Linked DNA regions of Arabidopsis thaliana. The protein of the gene in region 2 purifies or fractionates together with the protein of the main gene of each other region. This does not show direct contact. Each region holds a gene or a part of one and is shown on either strand. Other genes may lie near its edges.

Region 1 (16,771 bases), about 16 Mb from region 2:
CATTCAAATCCTAAATGAAACAAATCAAATAAATATTGAATAACACTTATTTTTAATTTATTTTAGAATATATCAAATAAACATTAATCCAATAAAAGCAGATTTTTTAAAGTAGTTTTATAAAGACATAATTGAATAACACTTAATTTCATAAATCTATTAAAAACCTTTATTCAATAATATCTTTAAAAAAAAAGGACAACATTGGAATTAATACATAAAATATAAAGAATATCAAGGTTTTTTTTGTGAGGTGCTAGTTTCTTAATTATAGTTTTTTTGTTGGTTATAGAGTCAAATTTCCCTTTACTATAATAGAGTTAGAGTTTGGTAACACTAACCTTTTTATGTACAATCATCATGTTAAATTTACAAATAATAACATATCCATTATAAAAAAAAATCAATTGTGTTGGCTATATTGAATAAACAACAGGTAGATGAATGTTGATGGTGTGAAGTGTGAACACAGATATCTGTCGTTTAGCAGAAAAAAATTGATTTGAGAGATTAGAAAATCTGTTATTGTCAACTATAATTATCAACCGTTGGATACGGTAGGCGGACGACAGCGTCAATACGCCGGAAGAGTACTCCACCGCAATAATGCTGCTATCAAATCAATCACATTGGTCCGGTCCGTTTTTCTGAATCTATATTAGGATCGGAATACAATTTGAAACATTCTAAAGCTAAACCCATACTGAATGAACAATTAAAAAATCACAAAATCTAACCATTTTGAAACAGTCTAAATAAAACTCCTTGAACTAAATTTGAAACAGTCTAAAAACTCTATCCAAAACTTGCAGCAATTGAAAAAAAAAAGACTAAACCGAAAGTAACCAAAAACATTACCGTACTTTTCTGTCTATCTGTGATTCGTAGAAGAGAATTAAACCGGAAAATAACCGGTACCAAAACATTTAGGTCAACGAAAACGTATTGACTTTGTTTCTTTTTTTCGGAAAGACCAAAAACAATCCATTTCGCTGTCTTTGTTCCACTCAAACCCTAGAAAAAAATTATACTCTTCTTCTTCAATTCAATCTCTCTCAAGTTTTGATCTCTAAATCTCACAACACGATCCATGTCTTCATCTTTCTGATTCACCTACCTCTCTATTTTGATTTTTCCCTTTTCGAATTTCTCCATAGATGGCCGCAACAACAACCACGGCGGCGAGTATCAACGCCGAAGCCGGAGGTGGTGGTGGGGGAGCTGAAGACCGTGTTCTCGCTACGGCGCAACAGATCATGAAAAGCCTCAACACACCAAAAGAGGTTCGTGAAGATATGTTACTTATCTTCTCAAGCTTCGATAACCGTTTATCAAATATCAAAACCGCGATGACGAACCAGGAAGAGAATCAAAACGACGCTCTTGTGGCGCGTTTAGAGGCTGCAGAATCGGTTATTCATCGGTGGGATGGTGGTAATGATTCTTCTCGTCACTCGTCTTCGTCTTCTGGTAACTATCGTTCCTCTTCGTTTTCTCTTTCGTTTGATGAATCTCCGGAGGAAGCTACCGAGTTTCTTTCAGCTGTTGATGAGATTATCTCTTTGCTTGAGGATCTTTCGTCTGAGAATAAGCCTGATATGGTGGATAGAGCTGATAGTGCTTTGCAGATGGCTATGTCTCAGCTTGAAGATGAATTTAGACGGATTTTGATTCGTAACACTGTTCCTTTAGACGCTGAGCGACTCTATGGCTCGATGCGGCGTGTTTCGTTGTCCTTTGCTGATGGTGATGTTGTTGAGGATTTTGAGAATTTTGGTTTGGTTGCTGATGGAGATGGTAGTGGGAGTAGGAGGAGGTTGTTTCATGAGAGAGGAGGGAGTATAGGGTGTGATCTTTGGGTTGATTTGATTAATCCAACTGCTGTTGAAGATTTGAAGGAGATTGCAGAGCGGATGATTCGCGCTGGTTATGAGAAGGAGTGTGTTCAGGTTTATAGTTCGGTTAGGCGTGATGCTTTGGATGATTGTTTGATGATTCTTGGTGTTGAGAAGCTGAGTATAGAAGAAGTTCAGAAGATTGATTGGAAGTCTATGGATGAGAAGATGAAGAAGTGGATTCAAGCTGTGAAGATTACTGTTAGGGTTCTTCTTGTTGGTGAGAAAAAGATATGTGATGAGATCTTTAGCAGTTCGGAGTCGAGTAAAGAGGTTTGCTTTAACGAGACAACTAAAAGCTGTGTGATGCAGTTGTTGAATTTCGGAGAGGCTGTGGCGATTGGTAGAAGATCATCAGAGAAGTTGTTTAGGATTCTGGACATGTATGATGCGTTGGCTAATGTGTTGCAGACTTTAGAGGTGATGGTCACTGACTGTTTTGTGTGTAATGAGACCAAGGGGGTGTTGGAAGCACTGGGTGATGCTGCGAGGGGGACTTTTGTTGAGTTTGAGAATAATGTTCGGAATGAGACATCAAAGAGACCGACGACAAATGGTGAGGTTCATCCAATGATACGTTATGTGATGAATTACATGAAATTGATTGTGGATTATGCGGTGACCTTAAATTCGCTTCTGGAGAGTAATGAGTCAAGTGGCGTATCTGGTGATGATAGTACAGAAGAGATGTCTCCTCTTGCGAAAAGAATATTGGGGTTGATTACGTCGTTGGAATCAAATCTTGAAGATAAATCAAAGTTGTATGAAGATGGTGGGCTGCAACATGTGTTCATGATGAACAACATTTACTACATAGTTCAGAAGGTGAAGGATTCTGAGCTTGGTAAACTCTTGGGTGATGATTGGGTTAGAAAACGAAGAGGGCAGATACGTCAATATGCTACCGGTTACCTCAGGGCTTCCTGGAGCAGGGTGCTATCTGCTTTGAGGGACGAAAGTATGGGTGGAAGTTCAAGTGGTAGTCCGAGTTATGGACAAAGAAGCAACAATTCTTCCAAGATGGCGTTAAAAGAGAGATTCAGAGGTTTTAATGCCAGCTTTGAAGAGTTATACAGGCTGCAAACGGCTTGGAAGGTCCCGGATCCTCAACTTCGTGAAGAACTGAGAATATCTATATCAGAGAAAGTAATCCCGGCTTACCGGGCTTTCTTCGGAAGGAATAGGAGTCAACTAGAAGGTGGTAGGCATGCTGGAAAGTACATAAAGTACACACCAGATGACCTGGAGAGTTACTTACCAGACCTATTTGAAGGAAATCAATTGGTTATTCACCACCCGAGAAGGAAAAGTTAAGGCTCTTGCTAGAAGATGATGACGATTGACGAGGACTCTCTTGCTTGAAGGACAATCTTGTCTGTTTGAAAGATGATAGTGGCCAGGTAACATATAAGTCAGGGGTTTAAGTTATATATGTGAAAGTCGGGCTTACACCCTTTTTATACACTGTCAAAATTCTTATGTACATGTCTTAATACTTATCATGTTATGACCATGGGTTTTATATAATGATTATGCTCTTGAATCAAATGGTCTTTGCTATATATATGGAGCTGGATGATATTACTTTCTTGTTGTAACGTATCTCTGTACTTAGATTTGATAGTAAAAGTGTGTTTGTTGCATAGAAATGATAAGTTAAGAAAATTTCAGTTTATAATAGTGGGTGATTCCGCATTTTCCAAATCACAGATATAATCTGTTTCCAAGACTTCGGCCAAAAATCCAGTATGTATATACCCAAAGAAAACACAGGTTGAGCCACATTGGAGAGCAAATCTCATAAAAACATACATGTCACTTAGACCAGTGTGTTATTTTATTGGCACCAAAAAAAATGTTCTTGGTTTCAAGTTTTGTGTTCGAGTAGCTACAAAATACAAATCCAAGTTTCTTGGACAAGTACGACCATGGAAACTATTCATATCCACATACTTTGACATAGACTATGATAACAGAGTATGCATCTGCTACCTTTAACATTCCATCCCAAGCATTGTCGCTCGCTTCCAAGATTAACTTTAAAACGTGGAGCATCCTTCTTCTTGGGCTTGGAATCAGGTTGTGGCTCTCCCTAAGGAAATCATAGAAGATTTGGACAAAAAATTGATCAATTCAAAATTTAGATTTTCTTTAGAAAACAAGAAACATGCGTTTTATAATATTGTGGGTTACAAAAATAGTTTCAACATTTTATAAAGTGGTTAATGCGTTTAAACTGTGTTAAGCTGATGTTGTTTAATGTTTAGACTGCTTGATGTTTTAAAATTTGATCTCTAGAGATTTTTACATTCACGTTGAATTCGAAAAGAAGTAATTAATCTTGACGAAAAAGAAGGGGTTACACAAGTCTGAAGTTGTCCATCCTGATTCTCAAAGCAAAGGTATGATGATCTTCATGAGTCCTTGCGTTACATTGCACAATCTTCTATTTTGTTTTGTTTTGTTTTGTACTCATTTGCTTTTTTATTGCTACGTGTTTTTGTCTCTCTCCCTATGAATTTATATGTCTCTTTGCATGGATGGTTTTTTGCCTTAATGGCTTAATCGGAGTTTGGATTTCTCAATTTTCTTGGTCCATACTCTTCTCCTTCGTGTTGATATATGAGTTAGTGTGATTTAGTCTGGATTCAGGGAAGTATTTTTCTTGTTCTGTGAATAGCATATACTTGGGTTAGAAGAAACGAGGTCAGTCATGCATTAATTGATGGTATAAAGCATTAGTGGCAGTACTATTTTGATGATACAATAATGGCAACTTAACACTCTTGAAATATTTTTGGGTTGTTTCATTTTCTGATCTTGTGGCAGTAATGTTTTGTTATTCTTTCCAGATTTTATTCAAGAAACTACAATAAACCTGAGTTAGTATCAGTATGATTCTGATTCAGTGTTTTATGTTTTTTATATTTAAAAGTTGAAGGATGCTCCTATAATAGAATTGTTGTTGTATCTTGAAACAGGGTTATCTTATGTGAATGAGACTTAGATCTTATATTAAATCATTTTTAAACTCTTACACTCCAAAGACTCATTACAAACCACATTAAAACTATGACATATATGAACAAGTAAACTCTTACGGTTAGTAGTCGTATCTCCTTAATATTCTCAGATGCAAAGATTACAAAAACGGAGAGCAGTCTTGTTCTATCTCCCACTACTAACCGGTCTACGGACAAAGAACTGAGAACGTGTACTTGTTCAAGGAATCATGGATGGTCACAGGACCAGGTAATGTTGATCTTGGACCAGAGATTAGTGTTCTGATTGTGGTTGCAGTTATGCACTGCAACAGTCGTCCCATATAAGTTAGTGACTACAACAATGGAACAAATGCTACGGGGGAGGTTGCAGAAGTAAAGTAAGCCCTTAGCTACTTCATGTGATGAGACTTTACCATTTAATATCAAGTTTTGGTTCTTTCAATGGTGTTATGGTCTTTCTTGTTTTAATGAACTTAAGAGGACGAACCAATATATCGAGTCCACAACAAAAAACGAAGTTCCATTCTGTTCTATAAAGGATAACTTGAAAGGTTACATTGGGAAAGTTCATCAAGAGAAACTGAAAACCAAAAACAACTAACAAACAAATCAGCAGTTGGAGAAGAAAAGCCTTAGAAACATGCCCTGCATTAACTGCTTCCCAATTCCGTAAAGTGTTAATGGAAATTCCTTTGCAGGTTTCTCTCTCAGTCCCATGTCAATTCCCTGAATTGGTGGAAGTAACCGATCTTTCAATCTTCAATTGGAGAACCATGGTAATCCAGACTGAAGGCAGTTTTGTCCCTCCGGTAAGGGAACTATAGGTCCCAAGAAGAGACGCCATAGATCAAGAATGATTGTTACCAACATAGCAGCACCCAAAGCATCAACAGCCACTCGAGATAAATCCCATTCATCAGTTGATTTCTCATCCATCCTGCAAACAATGAATAAAACATATGAAAACAGATAGACAACAACTCGAGGTAATCAAATAGCAATAAGAAGGTGAGACGGAAGCATATCACAGAGACTGTTCAAAGAACTCCTCAAGACACTTGAGAAAGACCTGGTTCTCCATTTAAGTCTTTAATTCCTATATTTTAAGACTCTCAAGAAAATTCAATCAATTAATCCGGTGTATCTAACAACTATCACTTGTCTCAGTTTTGATATGCAACAGTCATGAAGGTGAAAAGATTCACTGCTTCTATGAGATGATAGAAAACTATGCTTTCTTTACCTGAAGAACATTGGGAAGCTCACAATGAAGTAAATGGCATAGAAAAGACATCCAACTCTGTACATGGCACTTCGGTCCACAAACTCATAGTAAGGAAACTGCACAAGTTTGAAAACAAAAACAGAACATATGAGCGGTTATTGTCAAGTGACTAGTTTCTAAACAAGATTCTAGAATGATTAAGTAGATAAACGTAGTCTTTAAGCAGACTATAAGAGGAATTTGTGATATATGATAAAACACCAAGTAGAGAGCTCTTTTTATAGGAAATTATCAAAGAAATGTAGACATCACAACGTACATTTGCGATAGCAATAGTCTCCAAGTATGCAATGAAATAAGAAAGCGCAAGTATCCATGCAGCCTCAAAACACCATTTCAGAGAATCTGGTAAATCAGCAGTGGAATGGCGTAGCCTCCGAAGAGTAATGTTCGATGCAACGTGGTAAAAGAGGAAGCAAACATGTGTTAGGAAGAATGTTGTGTGAGGCACCTGTTCAACACAAAACCCCTGCCATAAGCTCATGGAAACAAGAAAACTACTCAATAGAACAAATCTGCCGAGATAATGCTGTGCTTACATTATTCATTTTCCATGATGGAAAAGTATAGGACGCTCCAAGAACTTTAAAGAAATAGTGAGTCCAAAAGTAGTTTCCGACATAGCTGAAAACAATTATCCAGAGATTTGCCTGTGGTAAAAACATGTTCCAATCAGTACAACTATGGATGAGATCTTGAGAACTCTCACCAGTACTCAAGGAAGTTAAAACAAGTTCTAAAAATAGTTTGAAACTAGAACTGGCAAGCCAAAATGTCATGCACATAGAAAAAAAGCTTGCCTTAACCCAATAGCGGTCCTTCCAACATAAACTTCTGTCGGCCTGAAAGAATAATGCATATATTCTGAGTCCATATGGTAAGGAAAACAATAGAGATTTGCATTCAATTGGAAGCAAGTAGCTAGTAGACAAACAAGTATAGCACCACGAACACGTTAGCTCACAGTGAAAGCAAAAGTTGTCAAAAAGTAACCTTTCCAACGAGTAACATGGGTATAACGAAAGCAGGAACAGCTGAAACCAAAGCTAGAAGCAGATACTCCAACTCCGTGAATGTCTGCTAGTTTGCAAAGTAACTAACACTTATTAGTACTTCTTCAATACCACTTAAAAGACAACTTCATACAACAGTAAAATTTTCAGATCTCTAAAACACTGACATGGTAAACAATGAGACATCATTTCATAAACTTTGTTGATCTAATTTAGCAGATAAAAAAAAGTGAATAGCTACTTCAACTCTGTCTCATCGTCTCCTAAATACATCAGACACTTAAAAACAATGCTCATTTGATGATCGCATAGACCTCGTAAAGCTTGTAAGGAACAACGATGCCTAAACAGAGAGTGAGCCAAAAAGGAGTGTAGAAGAGGAAGAAGAGCTCTCCCCATCTCTTGCTCGGATTCGGTGCCAGCCACAAGCTCGGTGAAGAAGATCCTATCAAATGTAAATCAAAAAAATCAGGGAATGGGGACGAGAGATTCGAATCAGAAGAAGAAGAAGAGATCGGCGATAGTTTTACCTGACATAATCGCTCCGCCGGAGAATCTTAGAAACGTTGACTTGAGTAGTGTGAGTGAGTGAGCCGAGATTTTGTGTACGGGCGACCAAATAGATCCCAATCAAGCTGACGTGGCAGATGTACTCAGTGATGATGATTTTGACGAAAGCTAGATCCGCTCGCTCATCGTTCCTATTATTTTACCGTTTATTATGACATCACCTCTTTTTTCTACTTCTTTGTTGCTAAATTGTTATATTTGTTGTTCCCTTTTCCCAACATAAGAAGTGGGCCTATGTTAATTTAATTCTAAAATAATATGTAATCTAATTTTATTTTTTATTGTTAAATTTGATTTTAAAAAAATGTATATAGCAAATTGAAACTTTTGAGGTAAAGAGTTTATTTATATTTTTAGAATTTTCAAAAAGCAGATGTATGTGATCGTAAAAACGTTTACAATATATGTAAAGTTGGAAAAAAAAAAGCTTATATTATGTACTATTTTGAATTTTATAGTATTATTTTGCATTTTTTGGAAAACTCTTTTATTAATGTTAAGAATTTAGAAAAATACAAAAACTTATTAATAAATAAATATACAAAAATTATCAAGAAAGAAACTAATGATGTAGTATTCATTCATATCTTTAATAACCAAACATTGATGGAGTTTGGCTTTCAAAAAAAAAAAAGAAAAATGTGGGTTTTCAAGAGTTTAATTGTCTTATTGACGAAAAGTGAATGTGGTCTAGTGGTATACTGATATTCATAAGTCTACCATAAACTAGCAAAATCTTCAACCTCAGTACTTAATATCAAATTAAGTTTCTTAACACTAGTGTTAATTGGACAAATGACCGGTCCATCGTGCCTTAAAACCGAAAAAATGTGTTAGACTCTACTTATTCTATGTTTTCTAGTCCGCTTTTTTTGGTTCACTTGACCTAAAACATAATGGTTTGTTGGAAGTATTATATGATATTTGATTTTATGTAATTATGAAAAATGTGCGATATTAGATGTGTAAGAAGAAAGACTCGTTTTCAGAGTTGGGTGTGTCACCAACCCCAGGCAGGTTGTTGTTGTTCGAAGGGCAGGCCTTTGTAGTTGTTGGCACAGTTAAGGGTAAAATCGTAAAACGGTGAAAGAAAACATTGGAAGCATCGAATCCAATACACGCACTTCAAAAAGAGAACACAACTCCACCGGACCAAATCTAATTCTCTTGTAAGAGACGACGACGACGAACATGGCAACGAGCAGTGCGGCTTCTGTTGATATGGAAGATATTCAGACTGTTGATCTCATGTCTGAGCTTCTTCGCCGTATGAAATGTGCCTCTAAACCTGACAAACGTCTCGTTTTCATCGGTACAATCATCTCTTTCGTTACCTCTGAATCTTTCACTCAATCGGTACTTTAGGTTTGATCTCTGTGAAAATTGTGTAGCGAAAGTTCCGATTTTTATCTGTTTTAGTGTGTAAAAATTGCATTTTGCTGTTATCGTTAATGCTTTATCTGATGATCATAGCGAAGGGATTGTGAATTTGTGTTTTTTGGTTCAATAGAAAGGAAGAATTGAGTTTTGGTTCATGTATGATTTGGAATTTGCAGGTCCACCTGGTTCAGGGAAAGGTACACAGTCTCCGGTCATAAAGGATGAGTTTTGTTTGTGTCATTTGTCTACTGGTGACATGCTTAGAGCTGCTGTTGCTGCTAAGACTCCTCTTGGTGTGAAGGCAAAGGAAGCAATGGATAAGGGAGAGCTTGTTTCTGATGACTTGGTTGTTGGTATCATGGATGAAGCAATGAACAGACCCAAATGTCAGAAAGGTTTCATTCTTGATGGGTTCCCGCGGACTGTGACTCAAGCAGAGAAGGTTTCTGGTTCTTTTCTGTGGTTAGTTGTTTGTGTATCTGCTCGCTCTTGTAAATGTTCTGACTTTTTTTGTTTATAAATCTTGTAGCTTGATGAGATGCTTAATAGAAGGGGAGCTCAGATAGATAAGGTGCTTAATTTTGCGATCGATGATTCGGTTCTCGAAGAAAGAATTACTGGAAGGTGGATTCACCCTTCAAGTGGAAGAAGCTATCATACTAAATTCGCACCTCCTAAAGTTCCAGGAGTCGATGATGTAAGAAAAACCATCAAATTCTGATTCATCATTTTGACTTAGTAAATCGAGTTCTCTCTTGTGATTTGATCTCTGTATCAACTTCGTTGTTTGTTAGCTGACTGGAGAGCCATTGATTCAACGTAAAGATGACAATGCGGATGTTCTTAGATCAAGGCTAGATGCATTCCACAAGCAGACGCAACCGGTATGTTTCCTTATAGTACATGAACTTGAGGACTATCAGAGAATTTGACATTTGTTCTTGTTGTTGTTGTTGCAGGTAATTGACTATTATGCGAAGAAGGAGAATCTGGTGAACATACCGGCAGAGAAGGCCCCGGAAGAGGTTACAAAAGTGGTGAAGAAGGTTGTGTCTACATGAAACTGAAAAACGAAATGGCATCAGTTTAAGATGTATCTTTTTTTGCTTATCTTAAATAACTCTCCTGAGTTTTTTTATTTGTTTCCCCCGGAATGTCTTTTGTCTTGAGAGCAACATTTGCTGCAGTTTTGTGCAGTGTGTTTCACTAAGGCTTATTGTTTGCGACTGGAAATGTCAGGTGAATAAAGGAAAAACAAAATCGTAGTAAAATAGTGGAAGATTGAAAACATTAGAATCGCATAACATTGAAAACAAAATGGTAGCTTATAAAGAATTGGTGATCAACTGTAAGAATTGGTAGAGCAGGAATCCAACAGATTCCAACGGAATTGTATATAGATCATCTCATCATCACAATGAGATAAGCGATATGAAACCATAGTTAGTGAAATTCAAGTTTTTCAGATTTATAGATTTATTTTGGATAACAAAAAAAGGAATAAAATACAAGTAATTCATATATTTGAATAAAGATATCATCATTACAATTTGAGCTTCAATGAACTTGGATGGTAAGATAAATTTTGAAAATGTTTGGGGTATAAAATGTTGAATTGTATTCTTATTATTTATTTAAATAATAGTTTTTGCCTATATTTTTTCAGTCAAATCTACTATATATTAAAAAGAATATTTTCGGGAAAATATCTTCAGTGTACCATACTTAGAACACATTCCATATTAGAAAATATTAAATCTTATTCTTTAGTTCTAAGATGATAAGATAAGATTTATGACAATGTTATAAAACTTAAACATAGTCAATAGTTCTAACAATTTGTAAAAGTATCTTGTAATGACGAAATCAAATTTTTTTACTGTGATAGCATTGTTTGTTCTCCTCTTTGTTGGTGTTCTTGAAGCCAACAAGAAGAGCCTCTTACATGAATCTGAAGATTTTCGACAGTCCGAAAGTTTGCTTAAAAAATCAGTTGATCCAATACGCGTCACAAGATGGCTCGTTCCCCCTTCAGGACCTAGTACCAAAGAATCACCGGGTACAAGATGGTTCGTTCCACCTTCAGGTCCTAGTACCAAAGAACCACTAGTTAGGAGATGGTTTGTTCCACCCTCAGGACCTAGTACCAAAGAACCACCGGTTGCACACAACGCAAATATGAATTTATGGTGACCATCACAACGTCTGGTTTTAGGAATGTTACCTAAGAATGTTCCAATTCCTCCAATGAGAACTAGCAAAAAAAAAAACTTTAAATCCATAAAAAAATATGTCTTGAATTTCTTTTTTTTTTAAAGCAAATCTAGTGTAAATCATAATCCAACCAAAGTTCTAGCTACAATAAAAACAGGAGCGTTTTATTAGTGTGCTAGTGTTCAATAAAATATGCATCAACATTTCTTTCTTTCTTTTTTAATTATTTCTTGTAGTTTTAAAAAATACGGGTTTAATTATCTTATTTTGATGAATTTAAGATTAAAGTTGTCAAATTTCAAGAATTTGGATTCCAATGAACAATCAAATTTAAATTATCTTAAAGAGTTGGCATCGTCATGTTCATATACTTCATAGTTACATATACACACATTCAGTCCATAATGCAATATATATATGCAATTTAATTTATCTTAAAGAGTTGGCACTGGAACTATGAATTGGTAATATTATTAGTTATTGTTCAATATTTAAGAATCAGAAAACTAAAGTTAAACTATAATTTTATGAATTTACAAGTTTATTATTTCAAAACTATAAAAATATTTTACAAACCATAAAAGTGAATCTTAATAAAATATAAAGTATTTACAAGAAAAATGGTTGGTTAAATAATTATCAAAACATTCTTATAAGCAGTAAAATGTTCTTATTTTTTAACAAATTTTTTGTAAAAAAATTGAATAAAAAATAAAAATTATGACCACATTGCAATTGTTTAACCACAACATATTTTGTGCATTTATCTGACATGGCATTCATAATTTCTCTGTTAGAATTTGGACCGTCATAATAGTAGTTACTCATTTTCTTATTTTAATCAATAATTACACAAAATAAATAATTATAATGGAAAATTTAACTTCGGCCGGTTATAACATTTCCATTCTGCACTGTGTTCTATATTCATGGTCTATAAACTTTTATGAGGTTACAGTCTTGTTATAACTCACCGAAATCCGGAACATTGAAAAAATAGTAGATATGCATATTTTATACTACTTATATTTTCCACCAATTATATACATGCTAAAAGTATCTTCTTCTAGAATTACATTGAGTTGGATTATAAATAGGTTATGTGGACAACTATTGAATCGTACTGAAATAATAGTGATTGAAAATTAATTAGATAACATGTCTATTAAACGACACATGACATTTTACATGATTATATTTTTTTCTTATCTTCAACTAATATCTACTTAATTGATCATATCTGTACTTTTTTTTGTCAAACGAATAGTTAGATACTAATACTAAATTTCATGCGGTTTATTGTTTTGTAATTTAGTGAAATCCGGAAGATTTCGTAGTCGTAGTAGATATTTATAAAGTGTGTATTATACTATTAATATTATACTTTCCACCAATTATATGCATGCAAAAAGTATCTTCTTCTGGAAATAAATGCAACCCCACATCCAAAGGAGATTCGTGTCACAGCGTTACTCCCCACGTGTCACAATCTCCCCATCCTACATGCTAATAATAGAAACCAAACTTAAAAAAAAGAATCTCAAAACTTTTGAACGTAGAAAACAGCAAACAAGATCACGGCATGTGTCCTCTCATCTCAAAACCAAAACCCTCGCGTTCTGTTACACGTAACTCCAAAGTCGCAGCCTTATGTGTCTACCTTTAATCGCACCGCACCTAATAGCCACTCCTCGCTCTCCTATTGGTCACCACTTCCCTCGTACTTCGAGTCTCAATGTCGGATTCAAACAAAACGCCACGTCTCTAACCTTCGTCCAATCACGTCGTTGCGCTGTTCATCGTTTGGTCTCGCACGTGGCAAGGTTTTCTCCAAACGTGTCGACGTAAGAGTTTTCTTTTCTTTATATACACACCAAACACTTCTTCTCCAACAAAACAAACTTGTTTGTTAGACAAAACATGAATTTCCGGGGAGGTTGTTGTATTGCGAGGTACGGTGGTAGTGGTGGTGGAAATGATATGTCGAAGGTTGATCGGATTATGCTCCGGTACCGTCCGATTGCACCGAGACCTGATTCTGGTGGATCTCCTGCTTCACCGACGGAGAAGAATGGATCGGTGATAACTAACGTTTCGTCGAGATCACGGAGAGGTAAGAGAAAATATTCAAAGGAGAATAATAGTAGCAGTACCGGATCCGTTAATAGTAACGGTAACAGCAAACGACAGAGAAACGATGAGACGAAGAACGGATCTGGTGGTGGTAGAGAGATCGTGACGTTGCCTCTTCTTCCAGAGACTCCTGAGAAGAAAGACTCGCCGTTGAAGGCTAAGGCGGCGCCGGAGTTAGGTGCGGCGGCGTTGTGGCTGAGTTTTAATGACGGAGCTAGTTATAACAGACGTTATCAGACAGAGTTAATGACGGAAACGGTTGTGTCGTCGTTGTTGACGGTGGAGTGTGTAACGGAGAGATTGATGGAGGGAGAGTATGAGTTAGGGTGTACGGACGAGGAGAGGAAGATGAATCTTGAGAGAGACACGTGTCCTGGTTTTATATCGGACGGTTTAGGGAGAGTCATTTGGACGAACGGTTCTTACAGAGAGTTGGTGGTTGGGAAAGATCATGAGCAGTGTAGTAAGATGAGTGTGTGGCTTGTGATGAAGGAGAAGCCTTTGGTAACGTACCGGACTTTTACGTGTAGAATGAGATTGCAGTACACGTGTCGTGATAAGGAGGTGAGTTCGATTACTTCGTTCTGTGATGTTTGGAGGATGAGTGACGGTGGCTTTGCGTGGCGGCTTGATGTTGATGCTGCACTTTGCCTTGGACGGTGAGGATTGGGCCGTTGGATTAGAGATGATGTTAGATTGATGAGATGAGGATATTTAATAACGACATGCAAGTTAGATAGATATTTGGACTTCCAACTTTATGAGTGTACATACATATTTCGCAATTTTGTAGCTTTTAAGTTTTAACATTTTGATTTCAATGTTCTGTTTTAATTTGTAGTGTTTGGTGTTTTATTCTTCTTCTTTTTTGGGGTTTGTATAAAAACTCTTGGTTAGTCGGTATCTTTCTTTTTTCTAGTATTGTGCTTTGTAGGATTATGGAATTAGTACTTAGGTGAGGATCTTATGTTTAATCACACAATGGAATGCATTAAATTTTTTGCTTACTCTTAGAAAAAGCTTAACCTTCAAATTAATTTGGAGATATTTGTTAAAACACATGAGGTGAAGTAGACTCCTTAGTACTTAGTACATGTATAATAACGTAAAGTTTCATTAAAAGTCTTGAAACTAAGATCGGATAATATTTTCAACATCATACGTTGAAATTCCACTCCTATTCTCCTAGGAAAATCGATATGCACTTTACATTTGGAAACACTTGATGACATAAAAGAGACTACGTTTAAAACTGCACTAGACTAAATCAACTGTTATTTCCATCGTTATGAGATTCTCGTAGCCGTAGGCCGTAGGTAAAATACTTCATGTCTCTCTACACATGGCCAATTGGATACATTTTCACCAAAGCTCTTACGTAAGGAATTTGACTAATTTCTAATTAAGTAAGTTGAGCGTTTGATATATCATATATATCATCTTATATTTTCACATATTATAGTTTTGACGTTAGAGCCGTCAATGATAGATACAGAAAACCATTTATATTTCTTCGTTTCCAACCACTTTCCTATTATATTTTTAGTTAGGAATAAGTTTATTAAATGTTGAAAAGATTATTACATATATATGATGAATCATTCTTTCTTTTGGATCAAATATTCTATGATAGAATTTCTCTAGGATCTAGGAGGAGGACATGGTCGTCCACTGCCTCCTCCAGGAGGTGTACAACTAGGGTATACTTTTATCTTGACCTCTTTGAACACCGATCGTTCCCAAACCTTTTCTCCTGTAATTTTGTTCCAAAAAGAAAACATTAGCAACTACCCAATCAATTTTTCAAACTTCAACTAACTTATGTGTTATAGCATATTCTTCAAATTAATTGTTATTTTACTTTCCAGTGTAAAATTTTATTTTATACGTATTTATATTTAGAAGATTATTTTGACAAACAAACAAAAAATGCAAATATGTTAATAACAAGAAGCAGTCTAACCGCCACCATTCATGGTTTACCCATACATGCACTGGAATCGAAACTATTGTAATATTCGGTTTTAGCTTTTCTATATTGTATTCTAGAAAATCTCAACTGCAAACAAATCAATATCGTTATGGAAAAATGCTCGGAATGATAATAATGATAAAATCTTACGTAGGTTTGGAGATTCATACTGTACTCGAGCCAATGCTGTGTTTGATAATCCAGAAAGCAAGAGAGAGCTCAAAGTTAGTAAGCAAACCACGACGTTATACATTTTCTTCATTGATTTAAATGTAAGAATTTCAAAACGTAAATTCAACTATAAATAGAGAATTAGTGAACTCACGTTACGGTGTTCAATTCTATATTATACTTTTAAAAAATGAGATCAAGTCTTCTATTTTGAATCGGTCAACTTCAATTTTAATTCTTGTGGAGCACCATGTCCAGGTTCTATGTTCAAGTGAGCTTGATTTAAACCGCAATAGCTTTTGTTATTCAATAAAAAATCGAAGAAATATTGAATAAGTTCGGTTTTACACCAAGTAACATCCCATATAAAGTTATCTTACTCTTCTCATTATAAGATGTAAGCTTGGATGAACACATGCATGTGAACCCAAATTCTTACAACATATAAGACTTGAATAAATACATGTGAACGGTGATTAACTGCAACTTGATCATTCATGACATAGATGAGAGATCCCAAAGAATTCTTCAATAGAAAAATATACACTTATAGTCGTATATATTGTTTTTGGTTCTTGTCATCATTTTAAAAGAGAACAGTACCCTACTTTATGAAGAACAACACAAACAAAACTGTTCCCAAATACATTTTGGTTAGTAGCCAAAATAAGAAAAATGGGTCTACAAGTGAAGGCATACATGTATAGAAGTGAAACAATGACAATTGTATTTCGCTAATTAACAACATGAATCAATATGCATCAAATCTCTTTCATGGACTGAATTACGACTCATGGAAATACGAGAAAACAAAATTTGCTTGAGAAATTTATCAAAAAGAATTTTCTTAAAAAGAAAAATTTATTAGTTTACATAAAAAAAGAAAGAAAATTGAGCGCAAAATGAACAAATTAAAAATCTTCCATAACATAACACTATATGTCAGCATCCTAATGAAAATGTTTTATTGGGGAATCTTGGTCTTTTCGTACGTCAACGTGTTCTCAACAAGACATAATATATAAATACAATATAGAGGAGAAAAATGAAGTTGGACCAATTCAGATTCATACAAGAAATTCATCTTCTACAAACACGTGTATGTCTTAGTCTAAATTGGAAGTTAAGGACAT
Region 2 (16,800 bases):
ATCCCCAGAGTAAGTTTTTTATACGTTTGAGCTTTGTTAACAGCTTAGGCTTGAGGATGAGAAATGCAAGGAAGCAGAAGCTAGGGTGAGAGAGCTTGAAAAACAGGTAACTGGACAAATACCTGTATGCATAATTTTTTTTTTGCTCTTTTTTGTAATATTGTTCTCACCTTTGAGACAAAATCTAGGTAACTTCTCTGGGAGAAGGTGTATCATTGGAAGCTAAACTTCTGAGCCGGTAGTCAATATCAATACAATTTGTTGCCAGTTTTCGTTTTTTTTCTGTTGGATTGAAATGCTTACATGAATGTACTTTGTTTCATGTTGCAGAAAAGAAGCAGCTTTGCGTCAAAGAGAGGTATTGCTACGTCTGAGGCTCCTCAATATTTACTTTTATGTGGTGGTTTTGTTTCCAAAGATGGAACTTTTGTTCTGGCTTTTAGATTCACCTACACTCACTCTATGACAGGCGGCCCTCAAAGATGCAAGGCAGAATAGAGATGGGACTAATAGAGAGACTACTGCTCTTCGGTCTCAAGTAGAGGTAGGCCCTTTTTTTCTGTCCATGTGTCACATCTATAATGAGGTGATAATTAATGGAAATGGAGAAAGCTTATATTTTCTATAATTCACTCTTAATCAGACTGCAAAACTGGAGACCGCTGCTATAGTAGCACAACTTCAAGGAGCAGAATCTGAAGTCAATGGTCTACGGACAATGACGCATAGAATGATATTGACCCAAAAGGAGATGGTTTGTGTTCATGTTTTTGCGCAATCCACACATAAGCTTATGGTAGGGATTAAGTAACACAGCCTTGCAAAATTTTCAGGAGGAAGTTGTTCTTAAGCGGTGCTGGCTAGCTCGGTATTGGGGTCTAGCTTCCAGATATGGTAAGGAGTAACAAACATCTGCTTAACGACATAACTAGAACTTTCATGCCATCGTGTATCTTTGCTTCTTGACATATGTGCATATTTGCATTTCAGGAATATGTTCGGATATAGCTACGTCCAAGTACGAATACTGGTCATCTCTGGCTCCTCTTCCTTTTGAAATTGTGCTGTCAGCTGGACAGAAGGCTAAAGAAGAAAGTTGGGAAAAAGGCAAGCAATCACTCAATCATATTTCTAAGATTCTGTTGTGATAACATTCTATAACTCCGAGTATCACTTCTCGTTACTGTATATTTATCTGTTGGCTATGAAAACATCTGACCAGAATCTGAGGAGAACGAGAAGAGGAGCCAGCTCGTTCAAGATATAAATGATCTAACAGGAGAAGGAAATATTGAAAGTATGCTCTCTGTGGAAATGGGTCTAAAGGAGCTAACTTCTTTAAAGGTTTATTCTCATCCTCTCTGGTTCTGGTTCATGCGTCCCTCTTTCATTTTCTCATGGACTATACTTGTTCTTTTGAAGGTTGAAGTTGCCATTACTATTACATTAGCCCAGCTAAGGTTGGCCAATACTACTCGACTGTCTGATATCGGTGAGCTTCTTCTGGACGCCAATAATTTTATGTTTTTTGTTGATAAAAAGAGAAAATAAATTATAAGTGACTTTAGCCAGGCTTCTAATTTCACCATTGAGATAATAGTGTACATGTTTTATTTTATTTTGTGTCGCATCTTAAATGGCTATTCTACTTTGCAATTGATGTTTTTTTCTGGTTGTTTTATATCAGAGTTAAAATCACCAGGTGGTCCTAAGATTACGGAGACACTTGGTAAGTTTATTAGCTTATCTTACTGAATATTTATGTCAACATCTTGGTGTTATGAAATATAAGATATGGAGTAAAGCATAATCCACAGAGTTACAATGACAAACTCTTGATACTATTATGACCATGAAAAACTTAACTTGAACGCCAGTATCCTATGTTCCAACAGTTCTTGTTATTCTTAAGGATAATTCTGACCTTGGCCTGTGGTCCTTTGCAGAATTGAGTCAAGAAGAGTCTGAGGATGTTCTCTTCAAGGAGGTACAGAATTACAAGCCCGTTCTCGCTTTCTCTCATGGGCTTTTCCTTCATCTGATCCCTCCTTCATGTTCCCTTTTGTATCGACTTTTGTTCTTCTATGTATCTTTTGGATCTATTAGAGATAATTTTGTCAGCTCATCTTGGCCTTTCTCCATTCTCAAAGCTATGAAATTTGGAACATTTGGCAGGCTTGGCTCACGTACTTCTGGAGAAGAGCACAATCCCTTGGCATAGAAGTGGACACTGCGAGAGAACGTCTTAGATTTTGGATCAGCAGGAGCGCACATTCTCCATCTTCACATGACGCCATGGAAGGTACAATTTACCTTACCAAATTCCTTTTAGCCAAGAGGATTATCCATAAGACAACTCTTACAATTGGTTCTTATTTTCAGTTGAGCAAGGACTAACAGAGCTAAGAAAGCTGCGGATAGAACGTAGATTGTGGGAAGCCTCCAGGTCCAGCCAGTAAGTAGTGACCTTGGGGACCTCGGGATCCCAGAACAGTCTTGCTACCACAGCTTTAACAGTACTGTATATCGTACATGCTTTCTTCTCGTGTGGTTGGGGTACTTTGCAGTCAGAAAAATGTTTCCAGTTTTGTAAACCGAAGAATTGTATTACACGCACTACTTTTGACATATAATATATCCACGTTTTCACGTCCTAACCATCAATTTGCAGACTCATTCTTGTTGGATAAGTATTTAATGTAAAATATCTACTGATACAGACTAAAGATCATCAGTCACCAGTAATCGTTGCAAGAACACTTTCCCTCCTTGAAATGGTGAAACCTCCTGGAATCTCGGATGACGATTTCATGTCCTGTAACCAAAGATACATGCTTTGCAAACTCATGACAATCTGGGCATGCCCGAAGATTCTTGAACACCTTAATAGGTGCAGGGGCATTGCCATGCACCGATATCAGCCCAAATGCAATGGCAAGTCTCTCACTATGATCAAGAAGCTGTTCTCTTCTCTCTGTCATATTACACTGAAACATATCACCTTCCATGAAACCATCAAACTCCTTAAGCTTCTCATAGATCTCCTGAGTTTGTGGATGGTGTTTATCACCCACTATAAACCGATGAATCTTACCCTTTTCTTGGATCCAGCTGCAGCTCAGTTCCTTCTTTAACATCCTCTCATTCATTAGTTTCATCATTTCAGCAGCTTCTTCCCATTTTCCAGCCCAGGTGTACAGATTAAACGGTAGCACATATCCAGCTGTATCTTCTGGATCGAGTTGGCGAAGTTCCTCACCAGCAATTTCGCCCAGTTCAAGATTCTTATGAGTCCAACATCCACTTAGAAAGCATTTCCAGCTCATTGCATCAGGTTCAAAAGGCATATTCTTCATAAATTTGAGAGCTTCGTCTAATAGTCCCGAACGGGCATAAATGTCGATCATACAATCATAATGATCAATAGTCGGAGCCACATTATATTTTCGAAGCATCGTGTCCAAGCAATGCTTTCCCTGTTCAACTAGGCCTGCATGGCTGCACGCGGTTAAAACCGCAATAAATGTAACTGAGTTTGGCTTCATACCACAACTCACCATTTTCTCAAACAATCTCAAAGCTTCAGAGGCATTTCCATAGTAAGCATGACCTGATATAAAAGCAGTCCATGCAACAATATCGGGGTTGTCCATGGACTCAAAGACTTCATTTGCATCATCTAAGCATCCACATTTTGAATACATCGTAATAAGAGCGCTTTCTCCATACTGAGATCCAATCAGACTTCTTTTTATAGCATCTGCATGGACTTGGCCACCAATGTTGCAATCTGCAAGTACCGAGCATGCTTGGAATATGCTAGTATATGTGAATGAATTTAGAATCGATGCGTTTTTGCTTCTCAAAGACTTGAAGGTTTTAACAGCCTCCTCAAATTGACTCATTTGACAGTATCCGGAGATGATTGCGCTCCAGGAAACATCGTTTGGCTCACGGATTTCTTGAAATGCACGACAAGCAGACTCGAAGCTGGAACATTTGATGTAAAAATCAACAAGTGGAGTTCCAACCGAGACTTCAGATTCCAATCCAAGCTTAGCGACACAGGCATGAATTTGCTTGCCAAGATTAAGCTCTTCAAGAGAAGCACACGCTTTAAGAACAACTGAAAACACAAAACTGTCCCATTCAACACCTTCCGTTACCAAATCCACAAATAGTTTCAAAGCATCTCTTGCTCTTCCAGCTTGAGTATAACCTACCATCAATCCCGTACAAGCCACTGGTTTCTTCACTGCCATCTGATCGAACACTCGCTTAGCACCCACTAACCAACCACATTTCACGTACATGTTCACGATCCCGGTCTCTATAGATGTGTTGCTACATAACCCAGCACGTATAACATGAGCATGAATCTGTCTACCAAAGTCTAAAGCCCTGGGGTTTACCAAAGATTTCAAGAGTGTCGTATACATGGAAGAAGGAGGCTTGTCGCCTGACGCTAGCATTCCCGAGAACAAACCAACAGCTTTATCCAAAATTCCTTGTTCGGCGTAAGCAGATATCATCGTTGTACGAGAAACTGCATTTAACTCAGACATTTCATCGAACAGCTTATCTGCATCTTCCAAGCTCCGACACTCACAGTACATTTGAAGCACACAGTTCTGAAGAAGCACAGAAGGATTCTCGATACCCATCCGCATGCGATCGTGCAAGAGTCTCCCATGAGATAAAGACCTCAATTCTCTGCAAGCCTCAAAGAGACATTGGTAAGAATACGAGCTAACGGAGACACCAGCCTTATCCATTTCTTGCAAAAACTCAAATGCTTCGTTGAGCTTCCTATGCTTCGACAACGAAACCAAATGAAGATTCTCTACTTGTCCTTGCTTATGCGAGATTTTAACAGACGGAGAAGAAGTGCTCGACTTCAGAGAAACCCACGACGGAATTTGATCGAAATTCGCGTTCTTTATAACCGGAACTCGAGAAGAGCTAAACGAAGACTGTACAGTGAGAATCGTCATAGTTGATGGAGAAATTCTACAAAAGTTTAGAGCTTTTCCCTTTCGAGAACAAACGACAGAGAAGCAAAAAACTCAGACTTTACTGGCTTCAGTTATTGCAACAAGCCAACAACCAAAACGGGTCAAAATCAAAATCAATGGTTGGTAATAAACGACAGCGTTTTAGTACAGAGACCCGAAGAGTGGAAGGTTCAAAGTTTCCTTCTTTGGTGTCTCTCATCAAATGAGAGTGAGCCGTACGATTTCTCTCCTCTTCTTGTTTTAAAAACCTATCAATAATATTCTTCTTCTTCCTCCTCTCAAATGGCGGCTACTAGGGTTCGTTGTTGTCATAGCAATGCAGCTTTCACCAGATTGCCACTTACCCGCCACCGAAACTCGCCGACGCTACCGATTTCTCTAAATCGTGTCGATTTCCCTACGCTGAAGAAATTATCATTACCCATTGGAGATGGCTCCTCCATTAGAAAGGTTTCAGGTTCAGGCAGCAGAAACATTGTGCGAGCTGTGTTGGAAGAGAAGAAGACAGAGGCGATAACGGAGGTAGATGAGAAGGGTATCACGTGCGTGATGAAGTTTGGTGGATCTTCGGTGGCGTCAGCTGAGAGAATGAAGGAAGTTGCTGATTTGATTTTGACTTTTCCGGAAGAAAGTCCCGTCATTGTTCTCTCTGCTATGGGGAAAACTACCAACAATCTCTTGCTTGTAATGCTGAGATTCTCTCCCTTTTCTCTGTTTTCTATTCAAAGTTTTGAATTTTTTTGATTGGAATTATTGGTTTTGTTGCTAGTGAAGGCGGGAGAGAAGGCGGTTAGTTGTGGTGTTTCTAATGCATCTGAGATTGAGGAGTTGAGCATTATAAAGGAATTGCATATCAGGTTTTGGTTTCTTGTAACTATGATTAATTTGGTACCTTTGAGTATCTTTTCCTTTGTTGCTGTTGGTTTTGATCAAGAATGTGTTTTTTTGTTGTTTCAGGACGGTGAAAGAGCTCAACATTGATCCCTCTGTTATTTTGAGTGAGCATATTTTAACTTGTAGACTTTCCAACATTTGGAGCTTCATTTCTTTCTAATTCTGATAAGGCTCATAAATTTTTGATTTGTGATGAGTTTGGTAATAATTCAAGAGTGTACATGCATTGCCTATTTATATCTTGGATACATTTTGCAGCCTATTTGGAGGAACTGGAGCAACTCCTGAAAGGCATTGCCATGATGAAGGAATTGACACTTCGAACCAGAGATTACTTAGTCTCTTTTGGAGAGTGTTTGTCTACAAGGATTTTTGCTGCTTATCTTAATACAATCGGTGTCAAGGCACGCCAAGTATGTCCATCATCATATTTTTAGTTCTACTGTAATTTTCTTAATTATATTATATATCACATTTGGTTGCTTATTTAGTCAAATTGATATCTTGGTAGATTAGGGTAGAAAAGTTCAATCTAGATTTAGAAAATATGATAAACAAATTCTATATACTCTGAATTGGTCATTTAACTTTTTTATTAGTTTGGTTTCGGTTATCAAGGAACACATATTGGTGTACTTTCTCTGTTACATGCTAAACTGGCCTTGGTGTGAGCTTTATTGCACAATGATCCGGCTCGCAAACATAGCTAAGTAGATTTATCGACCATTACTTTGCAGTATGATGCATTTGAAATTGGTTTCATTACAACGGATGATTTCACAAATGGGGATATCCTGGAGGCAACTTATCCAGCTGTTGCCAAGAGATTATATGATGATTGGATGCATGATCCTGCTGTTCCTATTGTAACAGGTTTCCTTGGGAAGGTATTTCAAACAGTTTACAATCTACAGATAATTAAGATTTTCATTCATGTTTCTGTGGCTTGCCTAATTATTTCATTCACTAATAGGGTTGGAAAACTGGTGCGGTTACTACCTTGGGTAGGGGTGGCAGTGATTTGACGGCAACCACAATTGGTAAAGCGTTGGGTTTGAAAGAGATTCAGGTTCTTCTACAATCTCAAAGTGTAATGTTTTCTCTTCAAACGTTGCATACCTTCTGTTCAGTTTGGATGTTTGTTTTTCCATTGAGTAGGTGTGGAAAGATGTCGATGGTGTTCTAACATGTGACCCTACTATATATAAGCGAGCTACACCAGTACCATATCTGACATTTGACGAAGCAGCCGAGCTAGCTTATTTTGGTGCACAGGTCCCACTCTACTTGTATGCAATAATACTCAAGTGTAGTTATTAGTATTGTTACATGAAAATTTGTATGTTGTAAATGCTCGAGTGGTTAAGTAAGGAAATTCACTTGTTGCTGCAGGTCTTGCACCCACAGTCAATGAGACCAGCAAGAGAGGGTGAGATTCCTGTTAGGGTTAAAAATTCTTATAACCCTAAGGCTCCTGGAACTATCATCACTAAAACAAGAGACATGACCAAGGTATATTGTCTCCTAATTGTGTTCTTTTATGAATCTCATGTGAGAACCTTCATAGCAAACAATTTTGTTTTTTGCTTTTTCATGACAGAGTATTCTAACGAGCATTGTTCTGAAACGTAATGTGACCATGCTGGATATAGCAAGCACCCGAATGCTTGGTCAAGTTGGCTTTCTTGCAAAGGTAAGGATGTACACTTTTTCATTGGCATGGTCTGAACTGTGGGCTGCTCCACCCTGTGGTCGTTTTGGTGTTGTTAATAATCAACACTGCCTGCTTGCCTCACTCTTTTTACTAGGTATTCTCGATATTTGAGGAGCTTGGCATTTCCGTAGATGTTGTTGCCACTAGTGAAGTCAGTATATCTCTGACACTGGATCCTTCAAAACTTTGGAGCAGAGAACTGATTCAACAGGTAAGTTCTTGTAGAATCCCCAATACGTGATTCCCAATTCATTTATGCGTGCTTTTCAAAGTCCTTTTTTTTTTTTTTTTTTTTTCTTGTTACAGGAGCTTGATCATGTAGTTGAAGAACTGGAGAAAATTGCAGTTGTGAATCTTCTAAAAGGAAGAGCAATCATCTCTCTAATTGGGAATGTTCAACATTCCTCCCTGATTTTAGAGAGGGTTAGATCTGGTCTCCTAATAAGATTACTTCAAGATTCTAACAAAGAAAGATATATTTCTTGTGCGCTTCTTACTTAATTGTTTTAACTTTGGGCAGGCGTTTCATGTTCTTTATACCAAAGGTGTCAATGTCCAGATGATATCACAAGGAGCATCCAAGGTAACATTGCTTATCACAAAACTCTCTTTCCGTTCTCACCTAACATATTCCTTTCTTGTTTCAATATCTCGCAGGTAAACATTTCCTTTATAGTAAACGAAGCTGAAGCTGAAGGTTGTGTTCAGGCTCTTCACAAATCCTTCTTCGAGAGCGGTGACCTCTCAGAGTTATTGATACAACCCAGACTTGGCAACGGGTCACCTGTCAGGACACTGCAAGTAGAAAATTGACTCGACAAGCTTATTGCTTGATCTGTGTTTTTCTTTGTATTCCTTCTGAGTGTAGTATGTACGTTCATCAAGCACTGCTTGTTGTCCTACGTTTAGGAACGGGAACTGCTGGCTACCTTTCGACTGTTGTAAGACCAATTTTTTGTACCATTTGCGTGATCAAAGTTAAACCAGTTACTAGCAAGAATAAAGAAAAAAGAATATATTGATGCAACTGCAGATGTCTGGATTGGTTTTACAGAGGTTTTGATACATGTAAGTACGTTGGGCTAAAAGCTGTGCAGTTGTGTAAGCATGTGGACAAGCTCATCACTTGAAGGCCGGTCTGCCGGAAAGTCAGAAAGGCAGATGATGGTGATTCTTAAAGCCATTAACATTTCGTCTTCCTCCACTTCCTCTCCAAGAATAGTCTTATCTAATGCTTCTCGTGCTTCCCCAGACTGTTGTAAATGTTTCAGCCACTGTCCTAAGCTACCTCCGCTTGCAGACTCTTCGCAGAACGGGTGGGTCGGGTCTCTTCCGGTTAAAAGAACACCCAATATCATCCCAAAGCTGAATATGTCGCTTTTGTCTGTGTATCTGTCACAAGGATTTGCATTACCGTGTTAGTAAAAGAGATGAAAAAGGAGTTAACTCAAAGGCTATGGTGTTGATATTTGAAGCACCTGTTACTTTGAGAGGACTCAGGGGCAGAGTAGCAAGATACCGCTGTGTGTGAACTAGGCATGATCTTGGCCAATCCACAATCAGCAAGCCGAGGCTCAAACTCAGAATCCAACATCACATTTGTAGGTTTCAGGTTATAATGAAGAATCTGGGTCTCACAACTGAAATGAAGATACTGAAGCCCTTTCACAATTCCAACTGCAACTCTAAGCCTAATCTCCCATCCAAGCTCTACCTCTTTCGTTCTAACTTTATTCATCACATCCTCAAGGCTACCATTAGGCATGTAATCATAGACCAGAGAGAACTCATCAGATTCGCGAACATAAGCTCGTAAACTCATAAGGTTCCTATGCCTTAACCCAGCAAGAAGCTCAAGTTCCTTCTGCAACCTTCTCTTAACCGACTTGCTACTACTACTTTCTGGTGAACCAACTCCTTCAAGTGAGCCTAGTCTCTTGACTGCAACCACTAGACCATTATCAAGAACCATCTTATAGTATTTACCATTAAGGTCAGAGCCAAGCAACTGAATACCATTACTGAGAGCTGCGTGGAGAGATTTAGGAGTAATCTTAGGAGAAAACACCACTGGACCTTTGAGAATTGGCGTCTGTTTCATGAATTTGACAATGCTACGAACCAAGAAAGCTAACACCAAAGCTGAAACCAACCCTGTTAAAATCCCTGAGACGATACTAATCACAATAACCTTGGAAGTGATTCTTGATTCAAGTGGTGTAGATGATGTTGAAGTTGTGGATAAGTGTTTAACAGTTCTTCTACGACAACTTGTACTTGTGCTTGTTCTTGAAAAGAAGACTAAGAAGAATAATAAGAGTAGAGAGATAGTGTTGCTACTACTACATCCATTTCTTCTTCTTCTTTGCTTCATTGCTGCTTCTACGAATAAAAGGTTTTTCAAGATTAGACACAATCTGAGAAAACCCAGAAAGGTGAAGCTGTTCAAAGCTTACATAAAAAGACACAGAAAAGTTTAAGACTTTTTCAATGCTACAGTGAAGCCTCTTCTCCCAAAACCACAAATATTCTCGAGAAAACCAATGAGAAACCACCAAGACAAAAAGGAAAATGGAATTCAACTCAAAATCTTCACGAAGAAGATGAATTAGAATATCATTGGCTCATAGATTCTTATCTGAAATTCTCACTCTTTTCCTCCAAAATAAAAATTGAAAATTTAAAGGAAGCTTATTAAAAAAAAAAAAAAACCCCACAATTTTCTTGATAAGGGGGGACACAAAAGTATCAAACTTTGTATGGGTATGTCTCGAAATAAACCCCAAAACTCAGTGCTAAACCCAAAAAGAGAGAGCAGAGAACAAACTTCAATGAGGGGTTTTCACAATATTACTATATCTGTGGTTGAAAGATGAAACAGAACAAACAAAACTATCCAAACTGTTTCAGCTCAATTAATCCCAGTAACCAAACACACACACACACACACACACACACACACACACACATAACACACTCTCTCTCTAGAACTCTCTTTTCAATACACAGTATCTGCGAGACCGTGACACACTCTCTCTCTCTCTCAGTCTCTCTCTCTATCCTCACAAAAAAGCATGACCGAGAATCCGTTACTTACAGCCAAAAAAAAATGGGGTTCCCGCCTTACAGTGGGGCCCACGATGTCAGGTGGTCGTGGTTAGACTGGGTCCCATAGCCACGTAGGCGGATGAAAGGGGAAGCTCTCGTTGCTTTCATGAGTGGCCGAAAGCAAGACATCGAGTACCGAGCTTGAGGGAAGGTAAAGACTAAAGAGAGCTGAAGCCAAAAGAAGATCTTGTCCGTTATTTAGATGCGGTTAGTGAGATATGGACCGTTGGATAGAAGAGAGTCTCGAGAATTTGTGCACTTTTGTCTTAGCGTGTGAGATTACTACTACACCTACAAAAGTGGTTCCTTTGTTTGTCTGAGAATAATTGCTTTCTCTTCTTTTTCCTTGTAAAAAATTATTATATTTTTTTTGTTAAAGGTAAAAGCTTTATGCTGTAGTGCTTTTATTCAAAGTTAGGTCTTGTTTTCCGATTTGAACCACATTCCTTTTTATAAAAATATCTTGGGTTGAAAAAAGATTAGCCTAATTGAAATGGTAACACTATTATCAAAAGACTCAAAACTATGAATGTAATGGGAATAAGTGGACCAATATGTACTCTGGTCTGAAAATTGACAATTAACTTTCAAACTTGGGCCTGGTTTAACACGTAAATTATCTTAGTTTTGACACAGATTCAAAACCAAAATCGAGCCACAAATTAAATACGTTAATACGAAGTGAACAAAACCATAAGTAATTGCTTACAAGTTACAACGTCTGGACATGACAAACTCAGGATGCTATAGTCCCACATACACACAACACGACACAATACAATACACTATAATTTCCCAATATGCAGCCTATATCCATCCATCACAAAAACATCAATACAATACTTAATTGGGGGCTAAACTTGCTAGAGACCATTAGAGGTCCTTCTTTAGTGTTGATTGGCTCTTCAGACCGTGAAAGCAACGATGAAACATAGCTCCGGAATTTTTATGTCCGCAAGCCTATGCATCTTTATCAGCACTGTCTGTGATTGTATCCATTTGTGTCTGAAAGGAGAGCAAGAACTTCTGGATCAGTAAAATTTGACTCTGCAGCAATATCAAGAGCGGTTTTGCCTTCTCTGTTCATAGCTTCCGGGTCTGCTCCCCTGCAACATACACACAACTTGTGTGAAAACTTTTAACATTTCCAAAGGATTTAGCCAGAGAAAATGTTAGGGACATTTTGGATAAGCGGATCTAAGAAGACCAACTCACCTAGTGAGAAGCAATCTTGCTATTGTCACTTTTCCTCTGAGAAGACAACAGTGCAGCGGCGTTTGACCACTTGAATCTGAGGCGTTTACATTTGCACCATACTGCAGCAAAAGCTCTACCATCCCAAGGTCTGCCTTCTCACAAGCACAGTGAAGCAGAGAGGAACCTCCGCTTCCCTCAGGAGATATATTTGAAGAACTACCTGTTCTATCAAGTAACTCATTTCTTAATCTGAGTAGAACATCCTCACGCTTTGGCCTTTCTGGTACTAATATTACTCTGGAAAGTGTTAACGAAGAACTGGAAGTTTGGTCATACACATAATTCACATCCGCATCACCATTGACAATGAGCCGGTAAACAGCTTTTTTATCATTGCCACTCACTGCGTCCCACATTTGTTGTGCAGCTGATTGTGGGAAATCGCTGTCTCTTGATCTCCGAACAAATAACTTCTCCGCATACTGTGGAATGACAAAAAAAAAAAAAGTTTGAATGAGCTTTCCTGAACATTGCCTATGACCGAGCAACGAGAGAATGCCTCGAAAGTAAATATTTTCTACATGCTCAATGAATATTTGAAGGAACAACATACTGGGAAGAAATAAGCACGCCCTCGAGAAGAAAAATAGCTTCATTTATCTCCAACATAAGGAATCAAATAAAGGGTAGAAGCTTAAAAACCTTAGCTTGTATATACTTCTCCTTGATAGATATCATATCAGCATAGCTGGGTTTTCCAGTGACCATCACCCTGGATTTATCAGACCTGCACATATTTGGCAGAGTAATTTTAACATTATGATTTCTAGGTGATCAAAGTTATCATCACTTTCAAACATAAATGGAGTTTTACACTGTTAAGCCGGGGTCAAAATGGATGGCGCTCCTTGAATGAAGCAATTCCTCCCAAACTGTGTTTGCGAAAGTATTTCCAAGAGCTTGGAACAAACTTATAACAGATGGCTCCCATACTTTCACGTCGAGAGTGAGTGACCTAACCTGTAGCAACAGCCAACTTCAGATTGCTGTATAACTTATGTCAAATTGAAGGCCGAGCCATCCAAAGTTCAAATTCTATCACATGCTCTATAATCTGAATTGCTATTGAATATAAGCCTAGTGTCACTTCAAAATTCTCATGGACTTCTTTACGTCCTTCCATAAGTTGGTTGTTATAGAGCCTACATATATTTTCTAAGCAATTAAGAGTTCTGGAGATTTTTTACCTTAGATATATGCACACCAAGATTACGGTGAACACCAGAACATTCGATACAGACAAGAACCCCCAGATTTAAAGAAGCCCAGTCTGGTTCTGGAGCTCCACAATCCGCACATTTGTCATTCCCACAGACCTTTCGAAGAGCATCAATGGGCTTCTCACCCTTTCTAATGGACCGTTGCGGCTGAAAACTTCTTGATGGCCTTTCATTGTACCCCAAAAAGCTCCTCTCACATACAAATTCTTCAGTAGTAGGATGATCATATTCAGAACTTTCATATGAGCTACTTTCACTAGCAGATCGATGGTGGCCACTTCCCATGGGACTACCAGGAAGACGCTGAAATGTAGCCGATGGACAATCACCAAAGTTGCATTGGTATTTAATATGAGCCTGGTCAGGTAAAGGAATAATGATAATACTTACCTGTTCAGGGACCTGAGAACTAAGTAGTGATGCAATAACCCCAGTGATCTTTTCTATCCAATCCATTTGATCGAGTGCACTCTCAGCCTGCACTGACAAACATAAGTAAACACTGAGTGAAAACTATTAAACTTGGGCAAACATGTATACAATAAAGTTTTAAGGCAGTAACAAACACTCTGAATCAAACCTGCAACGTGTAGTTTTTTGTAGGTGATATGATCCTAAAGCAAAACCTCAGATCTGATTGATCAGCGTCGACTTTAATTGTTGAGGTGAGTAAGTTCACTGTATGACGAGCTACAGACTTCTCATCATGGACACCACCATGTCCATGATTATTCGAAGAAAGCCACCTACTAAGCAGTCCAGACCCAAGCTCGGAGCTATTTCTCTGTCCAGAAAGCTGGCTTCCAGACCCCTAAACATCAAATAATCTAAGTCAGAGTGTGAAAAGAATGGGTCAAATAGATTTTTACTTTATGAACACCATACCGTTTGCATAATTCTGCTGTTTTCAAATAAAAGATAAATATAAAACCAAAACTCACAGATGGTTTGCTACACTGTTTTCGGTAATAATAGAGCATTCCCCGGCTGTCAAGAACAAAAAACCTTCTTTTCCAGTCTCCTCTCAGGTTTGAAGATCGTTTAGAGAGATAACCTTGCCTTATTGTTTGCACCTGAAAGCACCAAGAAATGTTAATAGTACTCTCTGGAAGATGTATCAATCATATGTTAAAGACGTTGATCAACCTTTCCTCTTGCAGCAGATTGCATTACGGCGTCTATCATTTTGTGAGAGCTTCTACCGATTGCTTGTATGCCATCTCCATTTGGTGATCCATTAGAACCATTTGAACCCCACCTGCTCTCTCGATCAACCTGTCTTTTGTACTCCTGCATCTTTTCATTAAGTGCTGCTTGTTCATAATTTGATCTTTCTCTGGATTGTTGCGCATATGTCAAGACCTACAAAAAAAGAGTTGATGTATAAGTAGTTTTCTAAATGCTACTATCTCCGCGTTTTCAACACATGTGAAGATTCATACATAGTCGTAGAAGAGAATTATACATAAACCCCAAATATTTAGGGATCTATCACTTGAAGAAAAGGAAAATAACATTAAACCGACCTGATTGATATATGGTTCCATCTGATGCAGTAATTCGTAACCCTGAAAGCAACCACGTTTAGATTTGACACAAACCTTTCCAGACTATTTTATAATTCTAAGCAGCATAACAAACTTACCTGTTTGAAGTACCGAAGATGTGCATCCATTGTTCCACTGACTGCTTCCAAAAATTCAAACCTTTTCTTAGCTTCAACATTTGATAGAGCAGTCACCTGAGCATAAATTAGGGAAACCAAATGATTACTTCAACAATACTACGTATGGACAGCAAGTATGTAGATTTGAACACTCAAGATCAAACGATAGAAAATTACAAGGTTGAACCGAGCTTGCTCAAACATAGACCTCGAAGTATGAAGTTCCTGTCAGTGTCAAAATATGTTAGTTACAACATAGAAATAAAAATACATGGTTATCAAAAATCAGAAACGAGCTTTACTAAAATCATGCACCATACCTGTTCTAAAGCAGCAGCAACGTCACTTTTTGTACCTTTCCTCAAAGATAAAAACTTCTCACGGGCCTAAAGCACAATAAGAAGTTAATTAGTTAATCGTCCAGATAAGTGGGAGCCGTGGACCCAATATGCCTCTCTATTTCTATCAGTTATTTTCCAAGCTACAAATGTAGCATGAACAAAAAAACTAGCTAGGTTTCTGCAAATTTATACACTGCCTGCACGGAAACTGCAACACATATCATAACTTTGAAAAAGAGGAACCCTAGCGTTCCTCCATTAACGAGGAATGATTCTAAAATATTTGAGCTCGACCCATTTTGTCTGGTTGAAACTTTTCATACAGATTTACATCTAGTAAAGAAAAGAGTCAGGATGAGAACTTTTAATCTTTCCAAAATATCTTTTGTAGTGCAAACCAAGTCAGCGGAGTGGGGAAAACAAAAATCCTTGACAAAAGGGATACCTGATCGTAGGTAAGGCTAGCCTTGTCAAAGCGCTTCCGAGCTTCCTGTGGCAAAAATGATCTCTCAGGGTTCCATATCCAAATATAACCATGTCATGCTAGCCTACTATAAAAATGGAAAAAGATATATCTGGACAAGCTGACTAGCCACAATGTAAAGGCAGGCTCAAGAAACTTAACCATATTTTCCGCAATCATCAGACCTTATCTACATTAATGACCTCAGAAAATATTCACAATTATATTTTGTTTGGGGAAGGTTGACCACATGAGTGATAATTAGTTCTTTTTTTTAGATTTCTAGTGCTGCAAGTCAAACCAGAAGAACAAGACCTAATGTCCATATTAAATTAAATGCCTCTTGGCAGGTCTTCATATTTTCTCTATTCACACATGCAGAATATTTGTCCTCCATTGTTTAATAGATATTCTAGTCAATACTAATACCTCAATGATGCAAAGTTAACTCAAAACATGTATATCAAGCCAATAATAAAGGAAGCAGCTTGTACCTTAACTTCATGCAAGTCCATATTGGCAAACTGAAGTAATCTGTCATTCAGTATATGTTCCACCTGACAATGGAACTCATCAAAATCAAAACCTGGATTGAAATGACTTGATCTGCTCTAAATCTATATGATGTCTTAAGGTAAAGCAAACTATAAAGAGGCCATTTTTGCTGAAGGAAAACAAAGCTATCCTACGTTGATACCACAGGAGTTATCAGAGAGAAGGCTGGGAATAGGGAGAAACAGAGAGTGTCAAAATAGCAAACTAGCATACCTGTGACCGAAGAACTTCCTTATAAGTCCCAATTTCCCTCAACGCAATTGTAAATTTCGTCATTACCGGTCCTGGCACAGCAAGTTAGAGTTTGTCAGCACTTTTAACAGCAAATTGTTAACATTTCCACCAAAACCAGTGAATCTAACAACCCTAGCAAAGAGAAAGCGAAGAGAAAGAGCGGGAACAACAACTTCCCTCATAATTTAAGGCCACTATCAGTATTTAGTGCTTAAAAACGAAATTATGAATTCTAAAATGGAAAGTGCCAAAGAATCTCAGATGAAAACTGCAAAGATTATGGGAATAAACAGACAATATGCTACTGCGAGTTTCCATATAATCGGTCATACC

Evidence for each region.
Region 1: the proteins of CRN (region 2) and CPI1 purify together in Arabidopsis thaliana (affinity purification with western blotting, with the first as the bait; one study listed by BioGRID). This does not show direct contact.

The regions. Positions count from the first base shown.
Region 1 is NC_003076.8:20,502,820-20,519,590, reverse strand, and holds CPI1 (cyclopropyl isomerase), read right to left. Parts: upstream 7,925-16,771; 5' UTR 7,736-7,924; coding exon 7,729-7,735; intron 7,644-7,728; coding exon 7,513-7,643; exon of another isoform or gene 7,263-7,512; coding exon 7,179-7,262; intron 7,028-7,178; coding exon 6,986-7,027; intron 6,836-6,985; coding exon 6,725-6,835; intron 6,637-6,724; coding exon 6,445-6,636; intron 6,242-6,444; coding exon 6,144-6,241; intron 5,838-6,143; coding exon 5,765-5,837; coding exon of another isoform or gene 5,660-5,764; exon of another isoform or gene 5,627-5,659; coding exon 5,510-5,626; 3' UTR 5,342-5,509; downstream 1-5,341. Other genes in the region: EXO70F1 (exocyst subunit exo70 family protein F1), read left to right, coding at 1,158-3,209; AT5G50370 (Adenylate kinase family protein), read left to right, coding at 8,960-9,080, 9,325-9,590, 9,678-9,845, 9,943-10,032, 10,108-10,209; AT5G50365 (uncharacterized protein), read right to left, coding at 10,815-10,820, 11,029-11,430; AT5G50361 (uncharacterized protein), read left to right, coding at 13,013-13,210; AT5G50360 (von willebrand factor A domain protein), read left to right, coding at 13,283-14,158. UniProt on the Arabidopsis thaliana protein: Converts pentacyclic cyclopropyl sterols to tetracyclic sterols.
Region 2 is NC_003076.8:4,244,219-4,261,018, forward strand, and holds CRN (Protein kinase superfamily protein), read right to left. Parts: upstream 11,023-16,800; 5' UTR 10,104-11,022; coding exon of another isoform or gene 10,034-10,103; 5' UTR 10,019-10,033; coding exon of another isoform or gene 9,998-10,018; coding exon 9,102-9,997; intron 9,047-9,101; exon of another isoform or gene 9,016-9,046; coding exon 8,706-9,015; 3' UTR 8,624-8,705; downstream 1-8,623. Other genes in the region: AT5G13260 (myosin), read left to right, coding at 44-106, 189-238, 331-358, 470-544, 644-754, 834-894, 991-1,107, 1,223-1,344 and 5 more; RARE1 (Pentatricopeptide repeat (PPR) superfamily protein), read right to left, coding at 2,736-4,994; AK-LYS1 (aspartate kinase 1), read left to right, coding at 5,298-5,699, 5,790-5,872, 5,973-6,013, 6,168-6,322, 6,647-6,796, 6,883-6,978, 7,068-7,184, 7,302-7,421 and 5 more; AT5G13295 (uncharacterized protein), read left to right, coding at 9,735-10,018, 10,034-10,103; SFC (ARF GTPase-activating protein), read right to left, coding at 11,705-11,837, 11,947-12,410, 12,631-12,715, 12,803-12,948, 13,176-13,511, 13,599-13,685, 13,789-14,019, 14,150-14,281 and 9 more. UniProt on the Arabidopsis thaliana protein: Involved in the perception of CLV3 and CLV3-like (CLE) peptides, that act as extracellular signals regulating meristem maintenance.